Linked DNA regions of Drosophila melanogaster. The protein of the gene in region 2 interacts with the protein of the main gene of each other region in a pairwise test. Each region holds a gene or a part of one and is shown on either strand. Other genes may lie near its edges. The genes, in order: CG14079, eEF1delta and robl.

Region 1 (11,511 bases), on a different chromosome or scaffold from region 2:
CAAAAAATATATATATATATTTATATATAATACTAAGAAATATTTGTTATAATATGAAATCATTTAAGCATTTATTTATTTACGCTTCAGTAAACACAAAAGTGTAAACACACATATTACCATTAATTTTTGTATTCATCGAAAGTTGTACATAATTACTGTCAGTGTATCACTCAAGTATGAAGAAATTAGAAGTAAGCACCTGGATAGCTGTTTCAAAAGGCTGCTCAATTGCGCCTTCCAAGTGTCTTTGGTGGGCTGACCTTGGCGATACATATATGTATTTCTGACAGTGTAGAAGCCAAGGTCGGTCGTCCTCCGGGCTCCATTCTTCGATGACACAAGTTCAAAGTCTGCTCGCAGCCAAAATGGAATACCCAACCCACTTGTATAGCTCAATGAATCACTTTGGGGCATTATCTGTGTTTTAGCAGGAAACTGATGTCGAAAGTGAAGAATTCAATTAAATTTCTGCACCTCACGATTGTCAATCTAAATTGCGCAAGCTACGGCCTTTACCTTGATTATCAGACCCCACGTATAATCAATATGAAGATGATGACGCTTTCCCGAGTGTTTTTATATGGTGCGTGTATAGATCAGTCATAGCCATATCGGCTTGAATGAGTGAAAAGTTCTGAGAAATGGGGGAAATATGGATCATCGTGATTCGCAATGTGCGATACTACTTATATGAGCTTTGCAGGGTTTTATTCATTATCTGGTGTTATTTTTCCACTCATTGTTATCAAGAAAGACCATTAACTGCGTATACTTTCTAACAGATATTTCCCAGCAAGTTATTAGTTATCGCTGTGCTGAAACCTTTTCATAGTTACAAAACTCATATGAGTATAGGATAATTATTGCTACGAGATGAATATTGCCTTCTAATAATTTGGACGTTTATTAACTAGCTGAAGCAATATAATTATTTCTTAAATGCAGTTAGTTAGCTCAACGGCATTCTCCCACACTAGTTTTGCATTCTGCTTTACTGACCTAAAACAACTGGAATGGGATTAAGAATTGGCGCGTCCGCTTATCTGCCATTCATGTTTCCGTTTCGCCCGTTCTGAAATGTGTGTACTCACACTCGCATTCACACTCGCAATTGGGTTCTCGAATCCAGCCCACATCCATATATCCATGTCCAGCCCCCAGAGTTCCGTTCCGCGAGATCTCTGTGAATCACTCGCCCATATGAACAGCGGATGTCGGTGGGCGCCACGGGTCTCTAGAATCAACAATGGTCGATCAACAATCGTCGATCAATGTGCGTTTGACGTTTGACCAGAGCGAAGAGGCTGAAGTATCTCACAGATTCTCAATATCTCAATATATACATATGTTCCCAATCTCCATGATTCTGGGCACTCCGATGACGTCGTTCCAGACAAGTGTTGGTTCAAATTGGTAGCCAAAAACGGTGATAAAAAATTAAATTATCATTTAATAATAGCTTTGATTAAAACAGACATTAATAAATGAACACGAATTTAACAAGTTATGACAAAATATAAATATAAGTTAACATTTCTGCAACAATGCAATTAAAGTTTTTCGTTTTACAATACTATTTGATAATTATAATTATATATCAAATAGCATGCATAGATTGACAAGAAATCCAAGATTCATCCCATATACGAACTGATATCCCTCCTCATCTGAAGATAAGTAATTCGTCATTGTAGAATGTGAATCCTCTTGGGAAGTATCTGTTTCCAGTGCTAAAAAATGTCTAAAAAATCAGATCTGCACCGGACGCTAAAAAAGAAGAAAGGATGACGAGTCGGGACGGCAGATGTGAAAGAATCTGTTGGCTTTGAGCGCCCACGCGAGCAAAAGTTACGATTGATACGAAACAAACGGCGACCTGACCAAACGACTTACCTATTCACCGAATTAGAATGCGAATGACGTTGGTTGTACTCACTTTTGGGATTGGTTTTGTCGGGCCCACTGACTCATTTCACTTTGGCCACTTCACTCAAGGTGGCTTAAACAGCAGCCGGTGCCACGTGTTCCTTCCAAAGGGGAAAGTTATAAAATAAAATAAAATTCACAGGGCTACAGGGAAATGGGGCACCTACGCCAGACTCAAAATCCTGTTGACGTCATTCGGGGGCTGCTCAATGAATTTTCTGCACTTTCTTTACCGGCTTACTGATTGCAAAAGTTGTAAATAACATTGTTCATCACTTAGTCAAGATCATGTGTTTGAAGACATCACGTGGGAAAGAACTACGATTTAGTATGAATAAGTACTAAGTAAGTAAAAATATTTTAAATATTAATTACTTTACGGTTAAGATTGTTAACACTAAAAGAATGAAAATATTGCATAAAAGCTTTCTAAGATTGTATTAAAGTTTAAAGCTTATGTGCTTCAATTGTGATTATAAGCGAAAGATTAAAGATTATAAATTCTTTAACGTTGTTTAAAAGTTGTTGTGGAGAAGAAAGATTTTTTTTTAATATTGAAATATCTCAATGTTCATCTGATTACTGTATTTTTGAGTGGCAATCTAAAAGTAATATCTAGAATCTCAATCAATCTGTATCTTTTTTTGATGTTTACTTTATAGGATTTCATTTTAAAGTAGAGCAATCAAGAGTAGAAATTCCTGCCACCCCCCTCCTCCTTTTTTTGCCATCGTCATCGTGGTTGTCATCGCCCATCCGTGCCATCCTTCCCCAATTGATTCGTCGGAGGGGCCAACGAAGGTTAATGCGAGCCAGTGTTTGACCTCCAGGGTCAAGCTGAAGGCAAATTAATTGCGAGAATTGGGTGCGACAGCTAGAGAAAGCGCAGAGCTGCTGTAATTGATACAAGAACAAAAACGAGAAGCCAAATTGCAGCCAATTGATCGAGTTAAGGGGCCGATGCTCTCGAAGTTGGCACTTCCGTTGCGTTATAAGGGCTGGGGAAAGCCCCCCAATCAAAAACAATTTCTCTCAGTGTGCCAGCGAGCTCGATAATTAGGCGGTCAACATAAGTAACATGGAGATATAGATCTTTCATGGAATCTTCGTCCTTGATTACTGCTCTAAAACCTATAATTGAGCATAATATTTTGGTCAGCAAATCAACTTATACTGGTAACAATTTGATAAGAAAATGTGTGAATTTTTAAGTACTATTTATTACTAGTTTCTAGTGATGCAGTTGTAGTTGTACGGCAATGAAATGAAAAACTTCAACGAGAGCAGACTTCAATCCTAAACGGATTAATTAAGATATCGTGGTAGTAAAGATTTTACATGGCAACGTGGTACTCGGCGTAATGGACGCCACCGAGGGTGTTTCGGCCCACGCGAAAACTTGGCCAAAAATAAAATGTAAACGGTAATAAAAGAAGAGTGTCGCCTATGTATGTACAGGGACACCCACAAAAGTCTATATACAGTTATATTTTTTGATAACGCTCGACGGCGGAAACATTGCACGCCAACGCCCGAGCAGCGCTGTCGGCGCTTTTCCAGACAACCGAGCCGCGCCATTCATTTCCACCAGCTGCAAAGGGCGAAAAAGACGAACGCAGATACTAGCGCTCAGATACAGATACAAAGTCGAACTCGCAGATACACAGACACACACACACACAGCGGCAGTGTTTTACGCATTCCAATCAGCCATGTGGGCGTCCGATTCCCTCCGCTGCAAATGCAAATGTATATATATACACATAGATATACAAATATATACCTACTACATATGTACAGATATAATAAAAACTTATGAATGAAAAGCTTCTGCGCAGCGTGGGCGGAACGCTGGGCCAGCTTTTTGGGGGCTAAAAGCTCCAGAGGCCGCTCAGCACCCCCCGACCCCCGCCCCCCATCACTCGCTCGATGGCAATCGCATTATGCCAGCGTCCAAGCTGCGGATACACACGGAATATTGATTGGAGGCAAAGTCTCCAAATCTGAAGTAACCTTGAAATGTGGGTGGCCGGTGGGCCGAAGGTTGAGGATAAAAGGGTCTTGTGGGGGGGGGGGGCGAGTTGCTGGAGGGGAGTGTGAGACATTTGGATTGCGGATGGCAAAGAGCTCGTGTGCTGGCTGAGCTTATAAAGTGCTGTTTAATTAATGAACACTGCTGTTCGAAAAATTGTTTCAAGAACTTGCAAATTGAAATTCAAATCTTTCCTTGGTTGCACGAGAGTCGCAAGAAGAAGGTTACTCCCTAGTGTCTCGACTATGAGATACTCTCTCCTTACTTCTTATTTTCGTTTACCACTATCAAAGTGATATGAATATAGAAATAGGTGTACTATTTTGATAATATTAAAATATTTTTTTTTTTAGTTTTTAATAAATTTTGTTATTTTTAACATTTTTAACATTTTCTAGATTCTACATTCTAGATTCTAGATTTCAAAGCGAATGCTTTAAAAAATCAAATTTATTTTAAGTTATATCAAAAAATACTCAACGTCTCAAGTAATTGACAAAATAAGGTACAATATATGGAAAATGTGTAGAAAAAACTTTTAAATTAAACGGACACAACTTTAATCGATACATCGATAGTTGGGTCCTATGTAATGTGACCTTATTATAGGGCTACCATTTTTAGCAATACGGGAAACTTGTGCTAGACAGCAATCTGGTCACACTGCCAAACAGCTGTTAATGGTCAAAGACCCCCAAAATATTAAATACAAAAGAAATTAAGTCTGCTTACCGTGCAAGTAATTGAACAGTGTGCTAAGGACCCAGTTGTACAGTCAAAGTAATCCCGAGGGAAATGGAATCGGATACGCTGGACCAGGAGAGTGCCGCGGCTGCTCTAAAAAAACTATCGCCAAGTGAAAGTCCCGAAAGTTCGAAGAAATGGGAGCCGACTTCGGGAGAGTGGGTTGCGGCGGGTGGGGGAGAAGAGGCGCCGCCAACAAAGAGACAAAAGACTGCAGACGAAAAGGAGGAGAATCGGGAGGAAGACGAGGATAGCGAGGAGAGCGTTGATGAGGAGGAGGATGATGGCGAGGGCATCGTCCAGATTGGCGGCACCATCAGCCCAAGGCATTTCCAGCGCATCCCCGTCTTTATCGTCGACTACCACAACGATGTGCTGGAGTTCATCTACCGCTGCTTTGCCACCCGCCACCTTCCGCTGCAGAACAACACCCTTGTCCACTTCGACTCGCATCCGGATCTGGTCATTCCACGGCACATTGCCGCCAGTTCCACCTACCAAAAGGAAACCATGTTAAATGAGCTTAGCATCGAGAACTGGATCATGCCCACACTTTATGCAGGTGAGGATTTCTATGGGGAATCGAAGAGAACTATATTATATAGAAATATAATATTAAATGCTATTATTTTATTTCTAGAAATAGAAAACAATGTAAAAGGACAAATAAAAAAGTTCTATGGTCTAATTTTACTAAGAACTTAATATTTAAAGATTATCTCTTAGTAACTGCTAAATATCCATTGAGTACTGTTGTCAAAAAGATTCCTTTCTACATTTAAAGGATTTCAAACCAAAAACTTATTAACTGTGATGAGTCTAATGACATTAATTAGCTATAATTGCATTTTCTTATAGAAATTAGTGTAAAATAATAACTTATTGCTATATTACTTGCTCTTAGGACATTTCAACCGCGTCGTGTGGCTGAAGAACTCATGGTGCCAGCAGCTGCCCACTGGCAGGCACGACTTTAAGGTTGGACAAAAGGACGATCGCATTGGAGTGGACTGTCCGTTGGACTACTTTATTGCCGACGGCAACTACTGCACTACGGAGGATCTGCAGGATGCCAAGAGCGTGGAGCTGCAGGTTCACGATGCAGACAACGAAAGCCTCAATCCGAACGAATTCCTAACGGAGAAGGACGCCAAGGGATTCGTGCTGGACATAGACCTCGACTTTTTCAGCACCTCCAACCCCTTCTTGGAAATATACAAGGATGCCGATTGCTACAATCAGCTAAAGGAGATCTTCCACTTCGAAAGCGTGGAGAAGGTGAAGAAGTCGGGCACGGCTACTATAGCAGATTATTTGGCCACGGCAGAGAGGCGACAGACTCAGTTGGATGCACTGAAGACGATTTTCTGGCATCTGGAGGAGGAGCGCAATTTCGAGGGACTGGAAAAGCCGGACGAGACCGTGGTCACGCCCGAAGTGTACGCCAAGATTGTGAAACTGGCCGATCAGCTGCAGGAGAAATATCCAGACGATGAAATCGACTGGCATTTGATCTTCGATTCGGGCAGCACCACCGATAATAATGGCTTGCCCCACCACATCAGCATCGCCGAAGAGTTGGAAACGTACTTTGCAAACTTCAAGCGTTTCTTACAGCGCCTGCCAGTTCCTCCAGTGGCCATTACAATGGCCCATTCCGCTCAAGATGACTACTGCCCCCAGGATCAGGTGGCATTCATTGAGGAATGCGTTCTACGCCTGCTTAAGGAGGTTTTTGGCGAAAGACTGCACGACAAAGCCATCCTGCACTATATGGACGATCCTTGGGATGTGATGAAGCTCTAAGCTTATGGATAACTAGGGGTTCTTTCGCCCGCCACTGCGAATTAGATTCTGAATTTACAAAACTCGTTTGGGCGGGAAAACTCCACGACTAAAAGATACCCGTAGTGATTTCGAATTAGAACCTAATGATGGAAAATCCAATACTAATTATAATAATATTTTTTACTTTGAAATATACGCGAAGTATTTATTACAGACAATTAAACAAACTCATTTAATGCAAATTGGGTATATTCAAAATAATTTGTTTTTAAACTTTGAAAGGTTTCGCGACGAGATACCTTTTAAACGACATATTAGGTGCCCCAGTAAAATCAAAATGTGTATGCACAGATAATCTATATTTAATCGTAAATACTAAATGTTAGTTATAAAATGTACATGTATTTAAGGATAACTCTCTTCCATTCAGTGCCGTAGGTTCCTAGAAAATGCGCAAAATCTCATTTATTGACATGGACATGGCATGAACACCTGAATTTCTGGCTGGGGGTTATGACTGGCCACCTCATTGAGGGCAGTCAACTTTTAATTGTCGACCCCAATTCGTGGCCGAAATCAATAAGCCAATGGCCCCAGGCGAAACTTTCAGTAGCATTCTGTGGCTCAGTCGTTGTGGAAGTTATACAGATTAGCTTGAGAGACATAGTGAGTTCACTTAAGCTAATTAAACACTTTTCGCTTTGTTCTATAGGTGGTAAAACTTAAAATGATTTCCATTTCGAAAAAAAGTAAGATCATTGGAATTTAAGTAACTACTACATTTAGTTTGTCAATGCTTGAGTTCATTCAAAAACTAAAATTTGTGTTACTTTTAAAAATTGCATCGACAACAGCTGCACTACATCTACATTTTTCGACATGGAATTACAATATGGTAGGGATTCCTAGGATATACTTGGATTATTTGGCTCACAGCTCCTCCTTGTCGCCCTTGGCTTTTTCCCTTTTGGCCTTTTTAGCCTCCGGAGGAGCAAGCTGCTCCTTGAGGCATTCCCTTTCGGCCTTTTTCTTGAGCACATGGTCCTCGCAGAGATGCTTCTTCAGTGACTTCTCATCCTGGTGCTTAAAGTACCATTCGCTGATGGTTTCCTCGTACTCCTCCAGTAGGTTTTCGCACTGGGTCTTCATTTGGGTGACCTCCACCGGGGGCTTGTCCCACAGCTCGTAGGGTATTCCCAGATCCACCTTGACGCCCTTGTCCACAAGGCCATGGAGCGTCTGGAAGGTCTGGGACATACCTTTGGCGAATCTCGTGCTGTCAGAGCGTTCCTTGTGCAGATTGTACTCCAACACTCGCTCGCACACGTTCTCCAGGGACTCGAGCAGTCGCAGTTCGCTGCGCCGGTATTCAGTGCGCTTCTTGGGCTTCACATCGTCAACGGAGTATCCGATTTCGATGACGTCGTGCGACTTGCCGGTCTCTCCAAGTCGAGCTTCCAATTCGGTGGCCAGGATTTTGCAGGCTTCGCAGCGGTTTGCGTAGCGAACGCCTTGCTCCTCCTCGGGCGAATCAGCTCCGGCTAACTGCAGGACGACCCAGAGTGTTACAAAGCCAGGCAGTCTTTTGAGGAGCATTTTCACTGCTTGATAAATTCCAAAAAAACAATAATAAACCTGACGTGGAAATGCCGCTCGCGAGAAGACCAGTGCTGCAAAACACCAACAACCGAACGGAACCGACGACTTAGCTTTTTCCCGCCAATACCTTTAAAATAATCTATATCAAATCTATTTTCTTTTTTATGATTTATTATCCTACATACATTTAAAAAAAACTTTTATTTTATTTTATTTGTTTATTAAAACAGAAGTCATGCTTAAACGGTTTATTAAAATTGAATCAATATGGTTTTATTATGAATGCCGAAACATTTTATCTGTAACAAGATGCAGCTTTCAAATTAACGAACCAGATGTTCTTACGTTGTTTAAATGCAATTAAAAAATTCCCATAACATTTCTATCCATTCCAATATGTTCTCTGTTAAAGACATTAAAAATCCCACGATAATTGAAAATTCGGTTAATGGTCGCCTTGTTTTAAAAAACAAACAGCTGGAATTAGTTCAAAGTCCAGTAAATGACTATTGAGGATCGCTGTTTTCGAACTCGGTCTGAAATACGCTGGGTATTTGATTGACCATGTCACTGGCCAGTAGGCTGCGGCCAAACTTTTGAAATGCAGCCGCGTTTAACTTTTTCACAAAGTAACTAGAGGCACATGCAGCTACCAGGGCGGGATTGGGTTCACCCGACTGCAGTGACCACGAGAAGAAGGTGGCCAAAGATCCGGAGAGCAGGTCACCTTGTCCACCGCACCTGCGACCGGAACCGCCGCTAGGCATTGAGTGAACTTCGTTGCAGTGAGGGAGATAGATCTTGTCGTTGGCGCCCTTCTCCAGGACAGTTACTCCGGCTCCCAGGAGGGACATTTTCTGGCGCGCCGCCTGGTCATCCTCGCCAAACAGTCTCTGGAACTCCATGACATTTGGCGTGAGTATGACATTCGGCTGTCCACAGATCAGATTCAGATTGTCGTTGAGCAGAAACAGTCCATCGGCGTCTATGACAACTGGTTTCTTGGTGTCCATGCACAGCTTGAGTACGTTGGATGCCGTCTTCAGGATGCCCGGCTCCCGACCCAGTCCAGGTCCAATAACCTTAACGATTCTAAATTTAGCATTTAATTGTATAAATGTAGCATATACGTATGTAGGTGGGGGGGGGGGGCTACTCACAACGACGTGAAGTCGCTCTAACCAGGGCGCTATTCTCTCCACTGCATCCACACAGTCTAGCACTGGATGCACGATAAGATCGGGACTGTAGGACTTGATAATGGCCGACGCATTTGAATGGCAGAACACATGCGCCAGGTCAGCGCCCACTCTTATCGAGGAAATGGCCGCGAAGTACGGCGCTCCGGTGTACTCCAGGGACCCACCGATCACTCCAATGCGTCCGTACTGTCCCTTGTGCTTGTTGTTCACCAGCTTGGGCACCACCGTCTTGAACAGAGCCAGCAGCTTGGGCAGGTGCACTGGAATATCCGAAACTGCAGCCATCTCTACCGGCGGCAATGGTTTTCTTTGTGGACTGTGCCCGCTGTTTACTATTGCTGTGACTAGTGATGCACATTGTGGTCGGGATTTCCTATCGGTTGCTGCTATCACTGTGAGAAATACTTTGTTCCCACGGAAGCCGTATTATCAGTAGTTAAAGCTATAGAAAATGAAAACATGGAAAAATGTGAGTTAGCTAATTATTCTAAAATAGATTTTTTTTAGTATTTTACTATCATATTTTTGTATTATTTCTTAATTAATTCAAAAACTATTCAATTCTTTAAGTACTCTTCACATTGTATAGTTACACTATACATTCTATACACATCACTTTCAACTCTTTTGCTTATCAATCAAAATTCCCTGCGTTATCGACCAGTAATCGACTTTGAAATTCACTTTCAACCGCTGCCCCGGCAACCAGTGGGCTCCAAAACAAAGAACCATGCGCTTTCGCCCCCCAATTCTCGATTCCCGCCCCAAGCAGTTGGCTATTTTCCGGCAGACTTTCACTTAGGATCAGGCAGCAAATGTCCCACAAGAGATTCTACGTAAAGTTAGATCTGCAGCTCCATGCGGTTTGTGGCTATGTCGATTGAAGTGTACCTGTGACATCAAGGCTCCTTCCATTTTCAGCTCACTTGTCCCGGTGTTTGGCTTTGTTCACACGGATATTTGGAGGCCACCATCAAGACCTTGGGCTACTACTTTCGAACTGGACCCATGGAGCCTCGCTTTCCGATGCTGTGCCACGATCAGTTCACGATGGAGGGATACTTCAAGAGCGTGGGCTGCCTGGAGGAGATGCACGAGCTACTGAAAGCTGAACAGCTGGAGATAACCGTCTGGCAGAATGGCCGAAGGTTGGCCTACTTCGTGGGCAGTCTTTCGGATGTGATGCAACCCACTTTTCCGCGCCTGAGCTGTGCCCACAGCTCCAATGTTCAGCTGTTGATGAAGGCGACGCCTGCTTTTCCGGGTATCCTGGCGCCCAAGGTGGAGCTATCTGCGCAGTTGACCACGCAGGATCGGAAAAAGGTGTGCAGCTGCTCCAGTTCCAGGGAGTACTCTGCTCCTCCTGTCAATCGCCACGTTGAGAGCCGTTGCCTGGGCCATTTGGATCAGCCTCGAAAGCAGCAAACCGTGTGTCATGGGAGGCAATCCAATTGTTGTCCAAGTGGCAGTTACGCCGCTTGGAGAGCTGGCTCTCCTGCCCAACAGAAACAGCAGGAACGGCGATTGTCCTCCTGCTCCAGCACAACGCAATTAAGTAGCCTTAGCCAGAGTTCCTCGCTGACGCAGTGCAGCCACTTGTCCAGCTGTAGTTCTCCTTTGGATGAGCATCACAACAGCTGCGATATATGCCAGGCCTACAGGCGCATGTTTCCTTCTTACTGAATAAATTAGCAAAATTATTTGTGTCTTATGTTTTAAGAAAACCTTTGGTGTTAAAAGACTTATGTTGCAACCCGGAAAACAATGGATATTTTCAATAAATGGTCACATTTCAGTACATTTTCCAGAAATAATTGACTTGTGTACATGGGTTAAATGGGTAACTTCTTCATTCAAATTAAGATATTATCATTACTTTTATATTTAAACTTTTATGTTTTACGATCTAATTTTTAGGTTCATTAACAATATGTTGTCTCTTGATTGATATGCATAAATAAATCTGTTTTCTAACCAAAAGAATATAATTCAGCCACAGAAAACTATAAAAATAGTATCTAAACGTAGAGTAATTATATAAACAAAATTACCAGCGTAGCTTTTGGCTTTTTAGTTAACAAAATAGTCGAATTTGCGCTTAAATTAGTGGTTTCTAAACTGGGAATATGATACCTATATGTAATCCTTGAAATCATTCTGTGCGAAAACCTGAACGGTGAGCGTTAGTAGTAGGTTGTAGGGAGCTGCCCGTTGCAC
Region 2 (11,545 bases):
AATTATATTTTTTGATAACACCCTAAACTGTTCCGACCACAGAGCACTCGTGGAATATACGTTGTCCTCCGGAAAAGTGCACTTTCATAATAATTCGTTGATTTGGAAAGATGGAACCAACAGTTTGCCCAGCTCCAAGTTTTGCATCGAAGCTATTCACGACTCCGACGATGCGGATTTGGATAGAGGTGCATTACCGGAACAGAAGTTTCTGGTGCGTGCTTGTCAGGAAATGAAAATTTGCCAAAAAATACCCTGTATTCGTCGTTGTTGTGCCGAAGGTGAAATGTATGCAAAAGGAAATTTCAGTACCTATTGCAAGATCGATGGAACCGATTTCAAATTTGAGGGTTTTCAGAACCTAAATATCAACGCAAACTTCTCAAAGCCCTCAGGTATGTCGTCACCAGTTTTGCAGTTATTTTTATAGGTCTTTATAGCAGGAAACGAGCGGCAATTGAACGCAGTAATCGCCCATTAAAGTCGTAAACTTAATGATCAAAAATATTATTAAGAATTGGAAGCAATCGATTTTGATGTTTTCCATTTGTCTGATCAAATAAGTGGTATAAACAATTGGTTTCAAGTGCCAAGCAAATTTCGCTATTGAAGTTATCTACGTCATTCATTAGTATTGACATTTTTCATTAGCTTTGTCATTTTAATTATTTTTGTCAAATTTTCTTATCTGGTTAATCAACAAGTGAATGACACATTTGCCTTTTCATTGACATAGGTCAGATTGTATAGTGTATTGTATTCAATACTTTTCAGATTTCGGTATTGTTCACGGCTTGCAGTGCCCAAAGTTTCGCTTGGATCCTGATAATTTTCCAGACGATTCGCATACGATAAATCCGTCCAATGGCTCGCTTATCATTCATAACACATTCAAAACCTATACGAATACTCAGTACTGCGTGGAACGGGTCAGACCCAATCAAAAGGTAAACTCCTTCCTATTTAAATCGACATATTTTATACAGTAGTGTCTTGTATAATCCTAATTATTTGCCTTCGTTCCTTTCAGAGCAGCTGTATACATTTTTGTGCTTTGATAATAAGGTGGTGACCGGCGACAGGATTCGCTTCAAGATGTATCCCATTGGCCTGCTCATATCCTGCTGCTTCTATGCACTCACACTGATTGTCTACATTTCAATTGCCAAATTGAGAAACCTGCCCGGCAAAATCCTAATTTGCCTCGTTAGCAGCTTGTTTGCGGCATATCTTGGAATCGCGCTGGGCCAATTGCGACCCACATCGAATGACGACATCTGTTTTCTTTCTGGTGGGTATTGCAGCCATTAGGTAATTAGTTGCTAATCCTGCTGGGACGAGGAGACCTACAAGTTATTATACCATAAAAGCGGGAAATCGATAGCAATCACTTTTATTATTACATTCATAGTTATACTCGTCAAGTACTTAATTGTTTAAGGGTATTTTGTCTCATTCTCTTGTGCAATTTGGTAACTAAAACCTAAACAAACTGTTTCTGTTTTGTATCTTGAAGGTTTTTTCGTGTACTTCTGTTTAATGGCTGCCTTTTCTTGGATGAACATTACTTCCTTTGACATATGGAAAACATTTGGGTAAGTACAAATGCTTTTGAAATTTAGATAAACTTGCAATAATTTACACTTATTTAATTGTAGATCAACAAAGCTTAAAAGCTGCGAAAAGAGCGACCTGAGAAGGCAGTTTATTTGGTATTCGTGTTATGGCTGGGGGCTACCAACATTGCTAACTGGAATAACCATAGCTTTTACGAAATCTGACATTTTACCGGATGCGGTGCGTCCAAATTTTGGACATGGTCGTTGCTGGTTTACGTGTAAGTTAAAAATCTAATTAAATTACGATTTAAATATTAAAGTATTTGTATATTTTTGTATTAATTCCAGATGATTCTTTTGGTTCAGCCAGCTTATTGTTCTTTTCGGGTCCAGTTGGCATACTTTTCATTATAAACTTAGTTCTATTCGTGCTCACAATGAAGTATTGCAACAAAGTAAAAAATGAAATATACAAAATGCAGAGCTTGAACAGCGACAAGCCAGTTTTGAAAAGGCGATTCTTTCAGGACAAAACCAGATTCGTTATGAACACGAAACTGTGTTTCGTAATGGGCATCACATGGCTGTTGGAAATAGTTAGCATTTTGTTTTATGATCACAAGAAAACGTTCTTTTGGACCATCAGCGATTCGTTTAATGTGCTACTTGGAATCTTTGTCTTCATTATATTTGTGTTTAAGCGCAGAATTTATAACGAAATTATGTTTAAGTTTGGTAAGTTTCAGTGGCATCAATTAACTGGCAGTTAGTTGAATATACTACATGTAATTTGTATTTATTTAATCTTTAAGGTCTGCAATCAAATCCGAGCACTGCATCGACTAGAACCCGCGCTGGCGTGACCAAATCCTATGCTCCAACCAGCACCGCGATGACCACTCTTCGACATTCTCCTGGCAGCTGTGAGTTTAAGCGCCAAACGTCGACGAGACCCGAAAACGAAGTTATGCTTTAGGATGGTTAAATAACTTATGATTAACTATTTATAATTTGTAGAGCCTTATGAAACTAGTCCCTCAGTTTAATCATTATTAATATGTGCATAATTTAGCTGTGACCTGGAATATTTATTTAATAGGTAATTTGCATTGTTTTTATACTCGTGCGTAAATGAATTTAATTAATCAAAGAATGGCGAATACATGACTTAAACTAATATATATCTTCTTTTCTTATAAATTTTGAAATAATATGGCCTTTTAGCGAATTCAAAACATATCGTTTGCATAAAAAATATCCTAAAGTAAACTATTTACCAATTACTCCCAGTTTAAATGCAGTTTTTTAAGTTGGTTTTTATCAAAATATTTATTTAGACGACTCCCAAACACATTTGTAATGCGGCAAATCCGATCGTGAATTGAAAAATTATATGTTACCCCTTAGATTTTGTTGAACGCAGCGATGTCAACACTTTGGACAAAGTCTTCCAGTTTCTCGATCTCCTCAGTCAGCCAATCGATGGAAACCTTATCATCCTCAACCACGCATGAAATGCTCAGTTTCTGAATGCCAAAGGCAACTGGCACGAATTTGGAAGCTCCCCACAGTAGACCGTCCTGGGTGATTTTGCGGATTTCCGTCTCCATAACCTTCAGATCGGTCTCATCGTCCCACGGCTTAACATCCAGAATGATGTTCGACTTGGCAATAATTTGAACTTTCTTGGCCTTCTTGGCAGCATAGGCTGCCAGCCTTTCCTCCCTTATGCGGGCGGCCTCTCCATCCTCCTCCTCGCTGTCCGATCCAAATAGATCCACATCGTCATCGTCGTCGTTCGCTTCTGGTTTTTTCGCTTCGACCTCGGGCTCTTTCGACACTCCATTCGTCAATTTCAGCTGAGTTTCCAAGCGCTTCACTGTGGCAGTCAAAAGTTCGTTCAACAAGGAAACCTGGGTCTTCAACTCCTTGTGTTCACCCTCCAATTGGGCCAGACGCTTGGCCAGCTCGGAATTTAAGCCATCGTCCAGAGTAACGCCATCGATCTGGAACACACACAAAAGGCTTGATTAATAATTCAAATTCAAGTCCTCATTGGGATATGTTGATCATAAGTACAGACTAAATATATTGTAAATAATAATTATACAATTCTCTACAAAGTTTTAAAGAAACCGAAAGAAACCTAGGAATGTGAACAAATCAAATGTTGAAATACAAAGATTTATCACAATAGTTACCTTTTCCAGCGAGTTCTGTATGTGTTCCCTAGCCTTTGCGATTTCGCTTACTAATGGGCTGTAGTGGCTGCGATCAGTTACCTTTAAAAATAAGACAACACCATTGATTACTTGTGTGAACTGACATTTGGTGTATCGAATGGTTGACAAAGGATTCTAGGGATAATAATTTTTAAGCAAAATGAGATGTTTTATGTACGGGCATCTACTTCAAGTCTGTTGTCATGCAAGCATGCTGAAATACTGATAAGCCTCACTCTAATCAGCCCAAAAATTGTACGTAGTTTAAATATTATACAATGCAGTGCTATGCATTTTGTGTAGTATATTTGTGTAGATAGAATACAACGTGTTTAAACCTTTACTTAACTATAGTATTTCCCTGAATTTCAATAGGTTTTAACTTTGTATACATCGATTTGTTTTTGGCACATTTCCATTGAATAAACGAATTTTGTTGTGTAGGTGTCATGTTAAGTACTTATGTTTTGCATACTATATTTTGTATTTATACCAATTGCCAAACGGAAAGTGTATTCAAAATTTGGCTTGCCAGAGTTAGTTTTCTCTCACACTCTGTTTTGTATACACTTTACGCACATAGTTATATTTTTTAAAAGTGTTAAACGTTCACCTGTTACATACAGCTACAAGAATATACCAATGTAATGTGCAATATGAACACAGCAATTGAAAATCAAAGGCAGATAAATATAGAAATCTTTTAATAGATCATTCTACGTATGTATTGAAGTTTAGAACATGTGTGTTTCGGCGTCCTTGCTGTTAAAACAAACAGATTTGCAATAAACATTGCCGAAACCATTTGAACTGATTTACCGGCCACGTGAAACTGGCTAACAACTTAAGTACTTATGGCTGTGATTGCTTAGAGATTTTACCTTCTGGGGACCCTCGTAGAATCGCTTCTCGGCAAGATCGTAGCGGCTCTTGTCAGCCCAGAATTTGTCCAATGCCTCTACTTTCATTTTTAGTCTTTCGCCCGCAGATTTACTCAAACACGTTGCACAATTGGCTGAACAATACGATAACACGTTTGAAAGGGAATGCAGGTATATCGATATCTACGCCATCGGATTCGTTTTTTATTGCTACTGAAACGATGGAAATGAAACACGACATTTTTATTTCAACCAAATTTTTAACACGTTCTCATTCTCATACGAACTGCTTTTTGATGTGCGAGTAAATAAACAAATTTATTGCAATTTTTACAAAACGTCCATAAATTGAAACACTTATTAGTGCCCGGAAAGAAATAAAAAAAAAGTTTGATCTCAACGTAGCAAAATGTAAGTTCCACGTGGCACCTCATCGATGTTTGACGAACTTTTGCACAGGCCTGCGGATCAACATGTGTGTATACTTGTCATCAGTTGATTTATTGCTTGTGATGGGTTGCAACGAAATGTTCACCACAATTGTCGTCGTTGCGTGAAGAGGTTTGATGAAAGAGGGATACAGAGGGATACTTTTTTTATATATTATCTTCCACTTAACTATTTAATGCTTCTTCTTCTCTTTAACAAAATTTTTATATCACGGACCTCGTCCTTGTGTGCTACTAAAAAGCTAGAAAAAGATACCATAATAAAAAAAATGTTTTAAAGTTTTTTAAAGGTATACAACTCTCCTTTACTTTGTATAAGAGATTAACAGATGTTTGCGTCAGCTGTGTTTGATGGAATCGAATTAATTCGATGTCGATTTTACACAAAAATTCCAGTACATGTATTTTATTTACAGTAAAAAACTTTTTTAAGAGCAAAGTAAAAGTGCAACATCACATTTTGTTCCATTTCCGCGTTTCAATTTGAAGACTGGGTAGTATTTGTCACAATTATTTCAGCCATTTAGCAGTCAGTTCTCACTTCGACTATTCGATAGCAACTACAACAAATGGTTTTTTTACGAAGAAAGTGTTGTGTACTGTAACTATGTTATCATATTTGTGATTGTAGATCTCGGTGTCTACCGTTTTGTTAATCATTGCGAATTCTTGGTGCGTACTGATGGTGATTCTATTTTGATCGGTTTTTGAGACTCCTTTCTAATGGATTCACTCAGTGATATGTATATGCAGAGAGCACTGAGCATTCCAGAGCACTGAGTTTAATGTATTGCCATACAAAATCGGTGTCGAAATGTTCGTTATCAACCAGTTTAACGTATAAGTGTGTACTATTCAAATTATATTTCAAATGATGCTGAACATAGTAATTTTCGTTGAGTGTATTACATACACTCGTCTAAATCAGGTGGGATATTTATACCACAGCATAATTGTGATGACTCCATTTAACATATGAATATTTGTGTTTATGTATAATTATCTAGAAGTGCTTGTGTGAGTGTGTTTACGTATAAAAATGTCCCAAGTTATGCAGTAAAAATTTTATTTGCAAACTTATTCCACTTCCCTTGGAATACATATGTGTGTTTTTCGTGTGTGTGTGCGTGTGTGTGCATGTACACATATGAGAGCAATTCGTGGTTTTTCAGTAAGGAAATCTGCAGTTAGACGCAAGGTTTATGAGCTGCCCCTTTTGCAAAAGTGAAACGCTGGTCGTGGCTCGCCACAAGAATATATAACTCGTATAAACTGCATAGTTAGCATTCGCGAAGCGATATCGCACAAACCTGTAAGTGGGAACATTCCACTTCATGTCAATTTCATGAAATCGCTAGGCGTAACCACTAGCTTTGGTTCTAAACCAAAGTGGCAACGCCTTTGGCAAAACAAGTATTTTATAAAAAAAAAAGTTTAATCATATTGCTGTACTTTATTGGTACAATGTGTATACGATATATAGTACCTAATAAAGGTACATTTCAAGGATTGTAATTTTGCAAAAAAAAATCATCGATACCTTTATCGATTGTCCCCACGGACTTGACAGTCTGTATCTTCGCCATTTTGTGGTTATCACTCGCCATTTTTTAATGTGACCGTTCATAAAATGGTCCTGCAAAAAAGTAATGTTTGCGGTCACTAAACTAGAGATTTCTAGAACAAAAAGGACGTAAACAGTTATGTATTCTAGACCTTGATCCCTAGGTGTCACAATGTACGTGGCAATTCAATTCCAGGGTAGCTTTAATAGTACCTGAGGGCTTTACGATTATACGAACAAATACGGACTTACAGTCAGTTATGGCTGTATCGACATGGCTAGTAATCCGGATCAAGGCTGTAAAGACTTGTTAGTTTCATATTTTTACGAGTAACTGGCCTTCATCAGGACGGACAGGCAGATGATCATTATATACTTTTCAAGGACTATAGAACAACTATTACACGGTACCTAATTGAGTTTACTCATCACCCTCAGTATTCTCTATTGATCTCGACGTTCATGAGGACGGACAGACATACGGACACAGCTAGATCCATATACTGCGCCCCTTACTTATCACAACTGCTAATAAATATTTGAAATCGTTTGTTTGGTTTGGTTTTAGGAAAGTTTAGTAGTTTTAAATTTTTAAGTAGATATGTTATACATATGTAATCGTTTTAATCGGTTATCTTGGAAAACTATCGATAACATGGCAATAAAATATAACATTTTAATTCACTTGCAGTGACAATGGATGAAAAAGATAAAGCTCAACACAACATGATATCCAACCTACCACTTTTGTTTGCGAACGGATATCCAACATCCCTAGAAAAAATTACGGAGTCCCAGTTAGAAAATTTTATTCCCTTCATGGTGCAATGCTCTTTAGGACACATAAACTTACCAAAGAAAATAGATTGCAGTGAACCAGAATGGTGGCCCGAAAGCGCTCCTTTCGAGATTCCGCTCAAAAAGCCGAAAGCATTTGTTGGGGTAAGCTTTTTTCCCTTACCTTTTGATTTCTATGGCTTATATTTAACATTCACCCCCATAAATGGCTAATATATACCTGTATCTATTTTACAGAATTGGATGGAAAAAATGAAAGAAATTGTGGTTATATGCTATCAATTTCACAAAAGCTTATTTCTATTAAGATTTTGTAATGATTTAGCTGCGTATGAACACGCGAGCTTAAGATTCATAAACAATTATAACTCAACAACTTCATTGTATGACAGGAGAAACAACAAACTGTTGGTTACATTTCGAAATGAAAACATGGTAAGCCAAGCCTACTTTGAATAATTGGGTTTTAAAATTAGTTAATTCTGAATTGGTTATTTTGCAGTCATATGATAGACAACAAAAGAACAGAAAGTGCTTGTTGCTGCAAAAGAACAACAGTTCCATTAGCGAAAACGTACAGCATATGATGGTTGAGCCACCACCTTTTGATATCTACCTATGTGACAACTGTGATGCCGAACTTTATTCTAAAGAAGCTATACTCGTAAGTTGATTGCCAAAGATTGTCAAAGTTAATAGTTAATAACTCTATTGCATAACAGGAACACGAAAACATTTGTTGCATGGAGGATGACGTTATACTTTGTGATTCCCCTGAGCCAGATAACAAAAGTGATGGGAAAAACGAAGATATCGAACAGCGCAACGCCTTTCTCTTAAACTTTAAACTGCAACCCAAATTCTCCGATAATAGTTTATCTAAAGAGAAACAGAAAACATATTCATTCAGCGAAGAAACATCAACGGAAACATCAAACAGAAAGAGGCGTTTACCATCGCGGAGAAATCGAACAGTTCATTCGTTTAGTAGGTGTTCGTTTATCCCAATATCATCACCTGCAGGACAGCAATTGTTAAAATCGACAAAACAAACAATATCAATGGATTATATTGCGGAAAGACAGGAACGCCTGGAACGCTTTTGTTACACTCCATTGATCAATAAATCAAATACCAAGCAAAAGTATTTTGAAAAAAAAACAAACACTACAGTGCATTGTACATTTAAAAAGTCACATGAACACAATTATCACATATATTCCTTTCCGCGGCGTCAATTTGTTAAACGCAGGGACACTACTGAGAACTTTTTGTTTTTGAACTCTCCGCTGATTAAACAATGCCGTCCAATATCAGTCAGATTGAAAAAAATATCCGAACACGTAATGGAAGAGCAAAATCACACTGCAAATACAAAACTCAATATAAGACTAACGCGCCACAATTCGCTCAACTCACACTGGAGAATTTCACCCACAAAGGAAGTTGTTGTTGATACAATTGACTTATGCTCCTCGGACGACGATGAGCAACAAGAGCCAGCAATAGGCTCGCCCAAAAGACTTGGCTCGGATGCACTGACTGTAATAAAACTTACACATAACAACAGAAATTTGTACAGTAGCCGCGTCGTCGAGCCAAGTAAATGTGCTCCAGAGCCAGAATCAGTAATAGTTGATAATTCGGTTAAGCCCCTACAGCAATCTTTATATATTTATTCAAACTATAAGGCTAATTCAGTAATTAGTCGCTGTACCGTAGACTCGATAGCCAATCATTCACTGGTTGGTTCCCTGAGTACATCGAATACTTTTGCTGATTCTGAGGGACACAGAAAGGAATACAATCAGGAAAACTGCAATTTTTCTAAGAACTTGGTCGCACTCACAGACTGGTACGCTCATTCGGCTAATTCGAAAAAAAGCACTACAAATCAGACTACTGAGAGTAGTACGTTTGATGCGATTTCCGCGGCTCCGCCTTTCAATGGCACTGGGCGTATAATTTCCATTGATTTAACTTCTTAGACATTTTAATCCATAGTTAAGTTAAGAAATTGTTATTTTACAAGAAAACCTAAACTAAGAATTACCATATATGAATAAATAATTTGTTTAAATACTTTTATATATAATGTCTAAATTCATTTTCTCTGCGTTTTAAAGAAAAGACATACTGTAGAGGAACCCTACTGTTTTGGGATCTCTATTACCACGTATAGATGGTAATCAGCATATTTTCCATCCGTTTTCTTCATAGTTCGAAGCGTTAATCGATGATCTGGTTGTTTGAAAGCATCGACATAAAGTACACGTAAATAGTACATGACCTTCAAAAGCTTATTTTTTTTGGTTATGAGTCACATCATAATTTTATTACGTCATTAAAGAAAGAGAGGGGACGTCAGGGTTAATACAAAGTAGCATTAATCCCATGATTGATACTTGAACCAGTCTTTTCGGTATGTACCTCAACCCAACGTGGGCTTGGCCCTTTGTAGAGTTAACCATCACCCCGCCTATTTTAGGCGATTCAGCTGTACGCGTCAGCTGCTTTTGGTTTGGCATATCTAGTTTTATATCGCATTTTCCATTCATTCCGATGGGATGAAGAATTTGATATAATTTAGACCATCCCAGATGTTTCTTTCCCACACTGTTCCACTCGATGCATTCTCACTGAAAACGTCTTTCAAAGAATACCACAGTAGTCCAATTTATGTAAGCCAAAACATATGAAAGACAACATTTTAAATGTTTATTTTATCATCATATGAAATTTCTCGGTCGCAAACGAAAATATAAATGTTTTCCACCGGAATAGAAAAATATCGGTGATCACAGCGATTATCCATATATAAAATGAATAAAATGGATGGATAAATGTCTTATAAATTTGGTATTCTTTTAACTTAAATACATAGGTAAATATAAAAATTTATTTTATTGCTTATCTTATTCAACCTCAATATAAATAGAAAAAAGCCAAGACATCATCACTGACTGCGATATTATACAGCCAAATAACTGAATTGACCGATTAAAATGTGGAAGTGTACACGGTGCACCCTGTATAATCGCGGATTGCTTGCTTTCATATCTATGAATTAGTTTGGTATGTAAAGTCGTATACAAGAAATGGTGTTTGAAACCAAAGCGATTTTACTGTTCCTCATGGTGTTGTCAAAGAAATTTTCGCTTTTAAATAATTAATTGATGAGTGTGTAAGTGAATATTGTGTTTATTGTTTACAAAAACCCCGTTTAGTCGAGTGATTAAGTGAAACAAATACCAGCATATATATGTACACAAAATTTCGCTCAAATGTGCCACTGACAGCAAATCAGTATTTCTGTACATAAACGTCAAGTTTGCCAGTTTGAAGTTTTAGTTCGCCGTAATGAACAGTGCAAATTACAAACATTAAATATTGATTAATCTATCGGCGTAAGACCGCAGTTTGATACACACATATATGTACGTACATTGCAAGCGTTCGCTGCGAGTGTGTGTATGTATGTATGGTCATTTGGGTGTTTTACTTATGTACATATGTACGTACGTGCGTATATAATCAATTTGTATGTAATGACAGCTGTGCAGAATGCAATGATTCAAAAATAATTTCAAATTGGATCGCTTTCGAAAATCCAAAAGTCATTTATTTTGCTGATTGCCTGTCGCTATTTTTGCATCCGCAATCGGCGAGAAATGGCGTGAATAGCACGTTCTGTCATCGATTGATAAAATAAATATTTTATTACCTTCTAGTGAAAATTCTGGATGGTAGTTTGAATTTTTTTTCAAAATCGGCGTAATTGTACTAAAAGAGATGCATTTATATTTTTCCTTACTAAGCTTAACATTTATCTGTAAGCCCACTGCTCCTTAAAAAATAATTGATTATTTTAAACCTATTTTAGATATTTTATGTGGTTTATGCGTTGAGTTTATGGTAGAAACACGGCAATTATGGAGTTCCACGACTAGGCTTCATTTTTGCACATGTTAAAAGGTGATTTTATTAATATATTTAACACATTTCCCTCTATCAATACATGTTTCTGTACTTTTCAGGTTTAAACCATAAACAGGACCCATATGCCTTCTAC
Region 3 (10,844 bases), on a different chromosome or scaffold from region 2:
ACCGACCCGTCGCTGAGCGTCACGTTCACGAAGGGATCGTGCTTGTTCAGCTCGTCCTCCGACATGTCGCCGTAGCACTTGCTCTTTTGCATCTTTTGGTACTGGGGGCAACAAAACCGAATGCATGGCCTGAGGTGGCAGGCACATCCTCGTACGTGGCTCGCCACCTTCTCCTTCGAATCGTCGGCCAGGAGCTTGTAGTCATATTCAGCTGTCAAATGGGCGGGGATCAGCAAGCCTTCGTAGAGGTACGATCCGTTCGAGAATCTTGGCGCTTTTGAAATATCTACGGTGTCGAAGAAGTCGCAACCGGGAATTTCGGCATTTGAGTTTTGCAATAACAGCAAAAGAAATGCGGTGAACGATCCAATAACTATTCGCATTTCCTGCCAAACAAAAAATCATATGAATATTTTTCTTCATATGGGAATAGAAGACGTACATATCTGTTTTTTTATTAATCCTAAAATTGTGTTTTTTTATTTGAGAGCGTACAGAAAGACGTTAAAATGTACATGTATTGCAGCTTAAATTGGAAATTCCATAGAAGCCAACAGACCCACCCATTTATTATTCTTTGTATATGTATGTACATACATACATATAAAATACATCCGATAATTCTGCATAATTTGTTTGCTTTTGTGTGTTTTGTTTTTGTTGTTTGTTAAGCATTTCACTTCTTGGAACTTGACCATAAAATTCATTGAGATTTCCAAGAAATCTACACTCTAAATTTTGGCACAATTAACTGATTCAGTTTCCAAAAAAAAAAAAAAAATTGTGTGCACAAGTTGCCAAGACTCTGGATTAACAAAGATAATATTATATTATACAATTAATTTTCTCCCGCTACCATTCAACTTTTTATATTCGTTACTTGTAAATTAAAAGGGTTTACTAGATTCGCTTGAAAGTATGTAACATGTAAAATACAAGTTTACGCCCCTTTAAAGTAAATACATATACATTGATCAGGATCCCTAGCTGAGTAGACCTGGCCTTGTCCTAATGTTCGTCTGTCTTAATGAAGGTCCAGATCTCGAGACATTATTTCCGTCCGCTTCTAAGGAAGCTCGTATCTGTTTTTATTCTATATGCATATAACTTTAGATAAGAAATAATAAAAAGATAAATTGACTATAAATTCATGCTCGTTGTTTCTGACAATATACAATTTTAGTTATAGTTTGATCAAAATTAGGCGACTGCATCATATAGCTGAAAATAGGAAAATACCGATAATGCCCTTACGCCAACAAACCGACCAAAACTGCCATGCCCACACTTTTGCAAAATTTTTTGTTACCTTTTCATATTAATTACATTCTCTTGTACATTTCTATCGATTTACCAAAAAACCTTTTGCCACGCCTACGACAATAGAATTCCACAACTATAGCATTTTCTCTAGTTTTTTAAATACATTGAGTGCAAGGGTATTTTGGCTTCGGCTTGTGAAAGCTGCTTTCTACCTTCTTTCTATTATACATACCCACATGTTTGTATGTGTATGTAGATTCTCATTTTTATTTTTCACTGCCAAAATTCATCCGTACGTTTGTTTAACATACAAACACATACATATGTATGCACATTTTTGCCTTTAAAAATGTTTCATTAATGCCCAATACAGCCTTGTGCAAATGTATCCATGAAGTGACTGGACACACACACATGTGCGAATTCTTAAATGTGTTAGAAGAGAGCAACATTTAACGCTCTCTTAAATTCACAGAATTTGTTATTTAAATATTTTTCACTGGAAACTTATTATTATTGTTTAAAACATTGAAGAAGAGTAACCTTTAACACAAGCAACTGATTTGCCGCGACAAATTTAAATACCAATAAACCTTAAAGTTTAAAATAAAATATACAAGTGTGTATATTCGCAGCCGCGTTATCTTTTTTACCGACTGATCCGTTCCACGTCGAAAAAGAGACTAGTCTTCCATTTTCACAAATTCAGATTGCGTCCGTGTGTTCCATAAAGTTCTTCGAACGATAGAGTTGCCATTTAATTGACAAGATACTAGTTCCAATTGTTTCACCACACCAGTTTATTTTTTTTAAATAAAAGGTAATATTTTTATTTTTAAAAGGTGTTTCTGAACTTATTGATAGTTCTATAACTAAACTCAGTTTGGAACTCAGTTCCAATATTGTTTTTTGTTAAGTGACAAACGGTTTTCAAACAAAATAAGTCATATCATACGTCTGCGTGATTAGCACTAAAGTTTTGTTAGGAACTATTACATCTTATATCTTATGTCTTTATATGTACAATTTTCTTTACCTATGAACATATCTAAGTGAATATCAATGTTACATTTCTAATCTTTAATATTAATTCTCTGATTGAAAGGCATTAACATACTAGTTACTCGTGGGTCAAAGGGTACGCCAGATTCTTCGAAAAGAACGTATCACATAGAGGAAAATGTTTCCGACCTTATAAAGCACACATTGTATGTACATATGTATGTACATTCTTCATCCGAGATTCCCATGTGCGAGATTAAACATGCACATTCTAGGAACGCACAATAATGCAAATCCTAAAACGCCCACAAACCAAAAAAAAAAAAACATTCTTTGATTTTTTTTCTTATCAATAGTTATTTTAATTTAAACTAAAAGGGAAAACCCAAAAAGTTGTGCAAAATCATATAAAAAAGAAAATTCAAAAGATCTTTTAATATTCAGGCGTTTTGAGCTGATAAGAAGCTTTCTGAAATGTTATGGATTTAGTCGTACATTGCCTAGGGAGAAATGCGGTCGTTGGTCTCGGTTGCTTTGTTATCTTTGTTAACTTTGTGTGTTACAGAAAATGAACACTTTAAGTTTTTAGAGACTCCTTGTGGGATATCAACCCGTCCCAAAATTAGCGGTGGTGACGATGCAGCCGAGCCAAATTCTATATGGATGGCAGCGATATTCAATTCATCCGATTTTCAATGCGGTGGCACAATTATACATATGCGTTAGTGTCTTTTTTAACTTATGTATACCATACCAGTCACAAGTATATGCACAATTTTTCTACCCTATAATACACATACATATGTCATTAGCTAATCATGTTGCGTTGAAATTTGTAGGAATTAAGGTATTTAAATGTCATTGACTAAATGTTGCATATCTGCATTTCTGTCTCTGTTTCCTAGCTGTGTAATGGGTATACAGTAGTCGCGATTACTGTTCTTGCCTTCTCTATATATTAATGAATATATATTTTTTTTCTAGGTTTTGTGTTAAGTGCTGCTCATTGCTTGGTAAGAGGATATGATCTGTAAGTGAAGTTCGAAGTTACAATAATTCGTGCTTACGCGGTTAATTTAAAAACGAATATATAAATATGTGGATTTATGAAATACAGATACGTGAGGTTGGGGGCACGCAACATAAATGAGCCCGCTGCTGTCCACACAGTCATTAATGTCTTTGTGCACCATGACTTCATTGCATCGGAATACCGAAATGATATAGGACTGCTTCAACTGTCGGAGAGTATCGTCTACACAGGTATGTATGCAATTTAACCACCGTAGCCCCATTTCAATGCATTTCTTCGCAGTTCGAGTTCAACCAATTTGCATCTTTTTGGATCCGGCTCTCAAAGGGAGTGTTGAAAAATTGAAAACGTTCAGAGCCCTTGGCTGGGGAAATAGGAACGGAAAATTGAGCATAATGTTGCAAACCATCTATCTTCTACACTTGAAAAGAAATGAGTGCAAACGCAAATTGAACTTTAATCTCAATTCAAGACAGATTTGCGCTGGAACCAAAAATGGAGACACCTGTAGAGGCGATTCTGGGGGTCCCTTGTCCACGAATATATTGTTTCCTTCCAATAAAAGTTATGAGGTGCAGTTAGGAATCGTAAGCTTTGGGGATCCAGAATGCCGTGGAGTAGGAGTCTATACCGACGTGACCAGCTATGTGGATTGGATCTCATCGACAATAGCTAGAAATGACTACCTACCAATCGGCGTGTCCGGGGGAGACATTGCCATGGGCAATCCCATTGCTCCTGACGCTAATCGGCACTGGACTCCTGCGGCTTCACCACCACTTCCTTCGATGTTGTACAATAGCTGCAGTCAGGATATCGCGGCACCGATCGCGCAGCTAAGAATTTATTGGCCTGGTTCTTATGCCGTTGGCGTATTAATAACAGATCGTAAGTATACTCTTTCACTCGAGAATTCCACAATTAAATGAGTATAAATTTAACAAGATTGAGTTTCTTTTCTTAGAATTGATCATCGCTGCTGCCACAGACCTGCCCACAGTTGCCGCCTATTTGTAAGTTGTTCGAAGGATTATCCCTTGTGCATTAACTGCTATTTTTCACATTAGTTACTAGTTTATTTTGATACCATTTTAAATTAATTATTCAGATACGTGTTCGTAGTGCTCGAAGGAATAAGCGCAATCAACCAAATTGAATCGGTTTCAAAGCACCCAAATTTTACTACGAATGATTACCGAAATGACATAGCAGTACTCAAACTTGTTCGATCAATAAGCAGCACAGGTAGAACATACCTACTATCATAGCAATTGCCTCGATTTACAGTTATATTCTTTTACAGCAATGAAACCCATCTGCATTTTGACAACGCAAATATACCAGCAAAACGCCGAAAAGGCTCGAGAATTGAAAATAATTGATACAGATTTAGCTGAACAATTCGACGTCAGGCTAATGGAAGGGAGCCAATGCGCGAAACATCTCGGATTTCAAATCAACGAAAATCAAGTGTGCATGGTAGATCCATCCGACACAAGTAATCCCCGCCAGAAACGTAGCTACATAGTGGTTGGAGGGATGAATGCCAATGGCCAGATACGCTACATTTTGGTGGGCATTTTCAGTTTTTCATCGAAAAACATACTCGTTTTTACGAATGTTATGAGGCACACGGATTGGATTCTTTCCTTGCTATATTCGTTAAATACGTCATCTTAAAATATTTAAATGCCTTAAAAATGTAAAAGCACGTGTAAATACCAATTACTGACATACGAGTGATTGGTACATGTTTTAATAATAAAGTAACATACGCTAACGAATAAGAAATTGTCTTTGAGAAATCTAAAATATTTAATCATTTTTCGAAGTAATCATGCGCGTTCTGTACTACGAGTAGTGTTATCTTGGAGTCTGGCACCAGGAGCACCTCGTTGGTTCTTGTGCGTATTCTCAGCATTAGTAGTTCGTCCGTGGGATCTATTTTACTCATACCGCGTTCCAGTCTTCCTCGAATAGCCTGAAAAGGTCCCGAAAATTGGACAGCATCCTCTCGGTCCATCGTACTCATCACCGGATGTCCCGACTCGTTGAGGATCACTACATCTCGAACATGTTTTTTCGATTTGACCAGGTCGAATGCTTTTTCCACATATCGTAGAGTTCGAGGTGGCTATTTAATGATGTAACCTATAAATAAATATAATTACATTCAATATGGAAATATTTTACCTTTTGTGGAAGATCCGGAAACATATTTCTCGTCTGCTTTGAAACACCTTGAACTTCGTAGTAACGGTTTCGTGAATTTTTAACCTAATTTTTTTTGTTTTCTTGGTTTCCAAGGTGCGTGTTGCTATATGGGTCAATATGCCAGATTAAACAATTCTGTGTAGTTGTTATTAATGTATTGTTAGTAAATAATAAACTTATTAAATTATTCAATCACAAATATTTTGATAATTACCGTTGCAAATTTTTTTCTCATTGAAAACTTCATATCGATATTTTCTGTTAACTTATGTGGAAATCTGTTAAATTAACAATGAACAATGTGCCATCACTGACAGTGCATCTCTAATATTGAACAAACAAAGTTTACTATTTCATTGAACTGCAGGTAGCGGTAGTGTCTGCCGTGTTTCCAACAAAATTATAAGAAAAAATGGTAAGTAAGAGTTGTGCATACACAAAAACATTAAGAAAATAACGTTACCTTCATGGCTTACAGTCGCAGGAGGTTGAGGAAACACTCAAGAGAATCCAGAGCCACAAAGGTGTTGTGGGTACAATTGTGGTCAACAATGAAGGTGGGTGGTTCAACTGCACCCCAGTGTGTGCTAAGATATCTAACTAATTCTCAACGCCTCCCAAATAGGTATTCCGGTCAAATCCACGCTGGACAACACTACCACCGTTCAGTACGCTGGCCTAATGAGTCAGCTGGCGGACAAGGCACGAAGTGTGGTGAGGGACTTGGATCCTTCCAACGACATGACATTCCTGCGGGTGCGATCCAAGAAGCACGAGATCATGGTGGCACCCGACAAGGACTTCATCCTGATTGTCATCCAAAACCCAACCGACTAAATGGCATGGTGCATCGCGACTATTGCTGAATTATCTGCACATTTATATCTGTATTCTAATCATCAGCGTATAAATGGAAAGTTAAATTATAATGTAATGAAATTGTACTCCATACAATAAATATATTTATGCATAAAATGACATCACGTAAACATTTTGGGCTCTGTAAACTTCAGGTGTTTTCAGCTGTTAGTCCGCTATAACTATTGATAGGGGCATTCATTCTTTATTTTCAAAAACTGAAATATGCGTTCTCTAATTGAAACAAATGACTCCAAAAGATAAATTTATTTTAACGCTAATTCTAACACGAACAATTAATTATTATAATATTATTATAATTATTGAAGTTGTTTGATGTTTGGGTAGTTGGTTTAAGCATCCGCTTCACCGACGTATTTATCGAATACTTTCGAAGCGAGAGATATGTATTCTCTTGTTACCTTTGAAATTGTTTCCGTTGCTATTAGGTGAACATTTATGTTATGTTGGCAATTAAAGACTACCACGGCTTGTACATAATTGGAAAGATTACAATAATTACAACGGTGTGGTAATTATATCCTTTAAAAACCATATGCAGGGACAGAAGGTATCGAATATGTATAAAATAACTTCGATAGTAGCAAAGTCCCAGACTATCGATGTTTGGCCATCGTCGTTGCACGCCACGGTCACACTGATGCAAAGTCGAGGAAGACGGATTCGTGTGTCGGTGAAAACCCGTGAGTTTTGCGTACTTGCATTTAAAGAAAACCCCTCAACGGAATAGTCAATAAATTGATTGGAGAGCCCAATCAGCCACCGTTTCGACCCAGTGTACGCGTGTGCAGCGAGTTAAGAGATCCACCGATCGATCAAATCGTATTGAAAAAAGGTAATTCGAAAGATGGGCGTGCAGCGAAAAGCGAACGAGTAAAGAAAATGGCGTAATCACGCACTTCGAAACCCAAAAGGCAGCCAGCAAACGCAACGCAAACGGAATCCAAATCCACGAACCCTCAATCGGCCAGTCAGCATTACTTTGGGTGAAAAAACGAGCTATATGAACGTGAAAAAAGTGAATAAAAAACGTAAAAAAAATGTGCTGCAGCCATATTTGTTCCGTGAAAATGAAAACGATACACACACACACACGGGCAAAGTCGAGTGTATATAGTCGTCGGTGCATATATATCTGTCTATACATATGTGCTAAGAATTAACTAAATAAAATGAAGCACTTCGTATCGGATCGTCATCGCACCGTTTCGTTGTTCGCAATTTCATTTCATTTCCAACGCGATTCTCGTTCAACGTACGTTGGTACATAGCCTGCCGTACATACATACGTACTTATGTATGTACACATGTACTTTCAATATCGACGATGGCATCACAAAAACACGACGCGCACACAGACACGCACGCACGTACCGTACAAACAAACAGACGTGCGGACACAGAGCAGGGTCTGTATGTACGTACGTGTGTTTATATATGGGACTGGTTGTTGTTGTACATAACGGAGAGTTGAACACATAAGGGCTGGCTGGCTCAATATAGAAAGAAGCATGTGGCTGCGCTGTCAGCGTCGCTGCCTGCAGCGCGTAAGGGATTTTATTACGTCGGACGTTTCGGTCGTCGGTCGCTGGGTTCGTTTTATATTTTTGGATATTTTACACATGTCCATATGCCCGTCTATTCCCCTGCATCATCTGCATCCTCTCCCACATGCATCTCTCGTTCGCTCTCTTTTCGCGTGCGTTTATGAATGTGTGTGTGTGTGTGTGTGTGCGTGCGTGACTCCTTGAATGCAACGTAACGGGAAACGGGCGACTGCAGTCATCAAACGGGTGTAAGGGAGACGGTCGTAGCCCCCCGCAACGCATGGCTCCGCACTTGCGTTCATAAACACAGTGATCACCCACGAAAACGACCTCGTCGAACAGGACTCAAAAGTGCCAAGTGAAAATCATTACGAATTACGGAAAATATACCGAGTGAATCACCTTAACAGCGAAACTGCGTCCCAAACATGAACCAGTGCACTGAAGAAAAATATTGCTTATTACTATTAGTTTTATGATTAAGTGCTATATACGGTTGAATACTATACATTCTTATTGCATACTACGCTCTTTATAAAAAATATGTCAAAGCAAAGCTATTGAAAATCTTATATTGGTAGAAGTTGTTGAACTTTGCTGTGCTTGTTTTTTCATATTAATACTGTCATTGTGCATAAAATTCCGATATAAACCCTGTAGAACAAAGTAGATAACTATATAAAGGGCTAGGCTTTTCAATGTTTTCCCGCTTTGGAGGCCCTGTAATTTCCAACAGGTTCAATCCAAGTTAGGAACAGAATTTTTATTGTTTCGAAGATTTTCAACTGTCGATTTTGTATTTTACCACGTTTCGTGTTATCCACTCCCAATTGATATAATCATTAATTTGATGTGATTTTCTCTGAGTGCATATAAACAGTTGCCTGAACATGACTCAATTCCTTAAAATTTCATTAGTCAGCCGACTTAAAAGATCTCGTACCGAGTTCAGAGACTTATCAAGGGCGTATGATTAGATTGTACAAAAAAAAAAAAAACAGATACTTTTAGGCCTGCCAGCATTCCAAGGGCTTTGAAACACTGGCGACCAGCATCGTTTCGAGCTTGAATCTATAGTTTCCCCACCAAGTACAACCAGTTTTTTTTTCGTTTTGTTTCCCATTTTTTTTTTCTTCGGATTTTTTTTTTTTCTTCGGATTTTTTGGCCGAACACAAGGCCAAAGTTCACACAACACTAAACAAAGGTTCTCGAACCATTCGTTGTTGTATGAACAATGTGCCGTATCTTATCATGTGCGTTGGGAATTCGCAGAGCAGCAGCAGCACAGAACTATCAATCAGCCCGGCGCTTATTATCTATCTCTACAGCTTTTAAACTCACAACTTCCCTCTAATTGCGCAAAAGAATGCCGAGTGCGCAATCAGCTTGGAAAATGAGTGGAAAATGCTGTGCAAACGATCAAAGCCTGCAGCTGTTCTACGCAAATCGTAGAAAGTCGTATCCACATAATGATAATTAGAAAACTTGGCAAAACAGTTGATCAAACAATCTGATTGGTTTGGTCTTAAGTTTCAAATGGCTGCTACGTTTGACGCACACATACGGTTGTAATATATACTATGTAAAGATTAAAATAATGTTGATAGGTGAAAAAATCGTCAAGCTTATTTATTGACGGTCTCGATTGTAATTCTCGTCTATAAACTGAACACTTTGGCACGTTTTCACTTCTTCCTATGCAGATAAATGTACTGCAGGCAAGTTCTTGAAATCAGCTGCCCATTTTCTCATCAGCTGTTTCTTACTGAAGAATTCGCGTTTTGGGTGTGACAATGCAGTACTGTAGGATCGATTTTAAAGGCTAAGTTAAGCAACCATTTCTTGGGCGGATTCCTGCCATATTGGCTGCTTATTGGTAGGCCATCCCCCAGCATCTTGGCAAAAGCTGTTCGTTCTGACAGCAGCGCGTCGAAGGTCTCCTCCCGTTGAACTTTCGACCCGCTGACCAGGCCCCGGTGAAACTTTTGCCCCAGCTAGTCAGCAGTCAGCAGTTTCGAGGCACACAGCTGCAGCAGTTTCGATCGGAAAGCGACCGAGTTTGCTGCAGCAGCTACACAAAAGTACACAGTAGTCCTTCGGTTGACACAGCCACCCCGCACACATACAGACACACACACACACACACAGACACAACAGATATAGATATATGTATATGTATGCAGGCAGCAGCTTTCTTCCCTTAGGCGAATCGAAAACTCGATTTTCATCCCCGTGGCGAACAGAATTTAGTTTTAATTTCATTACAGACTACAGGCGAAGGGAAACAGTGGAAAACATGCGTATTAAAGTCGCTGTTTGCTCGGAGTAGGGAAAAATCTATTCCCTGGGAGTGAAATTTATATGCGCGATTAGATATAGGTGTGTTACATGGTGGGATTTCTGGACAGTGCCGGGAGTGTGCGGGGATTATGAATGGGGCATGTGCTGCGTGCGCGTGTCGGCATAGGAATCGTCATAGCCAGAGTCAGATGATAACACGGCAAATACATACAAGTACCCCAAGTTATACCATAAAGCTAATAATATAGTATGGGATGTGAAGTCGCAGCCTTATCGCTCTGCTGGTTCGAACAAAACCAAAACATAAATAGCGTCGAACCGAATTCTTAATACCCTGACACTGTTGTCTTTTCTAAATATGTTAAAATACCTAAAAAAAAAAATTGTAACATTTACATCAAGACTCTTGATACTCGTGAGTATGAAGAGAGAAGAAAGGATTCCGAATTTCCTTCATTAATGATGTAAAATCTAGTATACTCTGCGAGGGTACACAGCAAAATAACTAACACCAATACCAGTGGGAAACCTATTTTTGGATTGCCAATCGCTAAACAATTCTCTCTGCAGGATTTGCAACACCTGCTCTCTGTTTTCGGCATCT

What was found.
Region 1: the proteins of eEF1delta (region 2) and CG14079 interact in a two-hybrid assay, tested with the Drosophila melanogaster proteins (one large-scale study listed by BioGRID).
Region 3: the proteins of eEF1delta (region 2) and robl interact in a two-hybrid assay, tested with the Drosophila melanogaster proteins (one large-scale study listed by BioGRID).

The regions. Positions count from the first base shown.
Region 1 is NT_037436.4:19,088,054-19,099,564, forward strand, and holds CG14079 (uncharacterized protein), read left to right. Parts: upstream 1-9,945; 5' UTR 9,946-10,109; coding exon 10,110-10,157; intron 10,158-10,215; coding exon 10,216-10,977; 3' UTR 10,978-11,011; downstream 11,012-11,511. Other genes in the region: MESR6 (misexpression suppressor of ras 6), read left to right, coding at 4,757-5,267, 5,346-5,387, 5,610-6,511; CNPYb (canopy b), read right to left, coding at 7,424-8,089; Naxd (NAD(P)HX dehydratase), read right to left, coding at 8,599-9,174, 9,253-9,579; Gem2 (gemin 2), read right to left, coding at 11,428-11,511.
Region 2 is NT_033779.5:10,225,777-10,237,321, reverse strand, and holds eEF1delta (eukaryotic translation elongation factor 1 delta), read right to left. Parts: upstream 4,816-11,545; 5' UTR 4,750-4,815; coding exon 4,663-4,749; intron 3,842-4,662; coding exon 3,761-3,841; intron 3,566-3,760; coding exon 2,963-3,565; 3' UTR 2,872-2,962; downstream 1-2,871. Other genes in the region: mthl15 (methuselah-like 15), read left to right, coding at 1-395, 775-947, 1,036-1,291, 1,517-1,595, 1,659-1,837, 1,908-2,294, 2,372-2,535; ova (ovaries absent), read left to right, coding at 7,372-7,617, 7,711-7,908, 7,976-8,137, 8,196-9,461. UniProt on the Drosophila melanogaster protein: EF-1-beta and EF-1-delta stimulate the exchange of GDP bound to EF-1-alpha to GTP.
Region 3 is NT_033778.4:17,450,647-17,461,490, forward strand, and holds robl (roadblock), read left to right. Parts: upstream 1-5,825; 5' UTR 5,826-5,924; coding exon 5,925-5,927; intron 5,928-5,990; coding exon 5,991-6,069; intron 6,070-6,137; coding exon 6,138-6,349; 3' UTR 6,350-6,483; downstream 6,484-10,844. Other genes in the region: mthl3 (methuselah-like 3), read right to left, coding at 1-383; CG10764 (uncharacterized protein), read left to right, coding at 2,776-2,986, 3,250-3,295, 3,383-3,528, 3,581-4,186, 4,263-4,311, 4,407-4,543, 4,602-4,978; robls54B (roadblock similar 54B), read right to left, coding at 5,118-5,432, 5,492-5,515.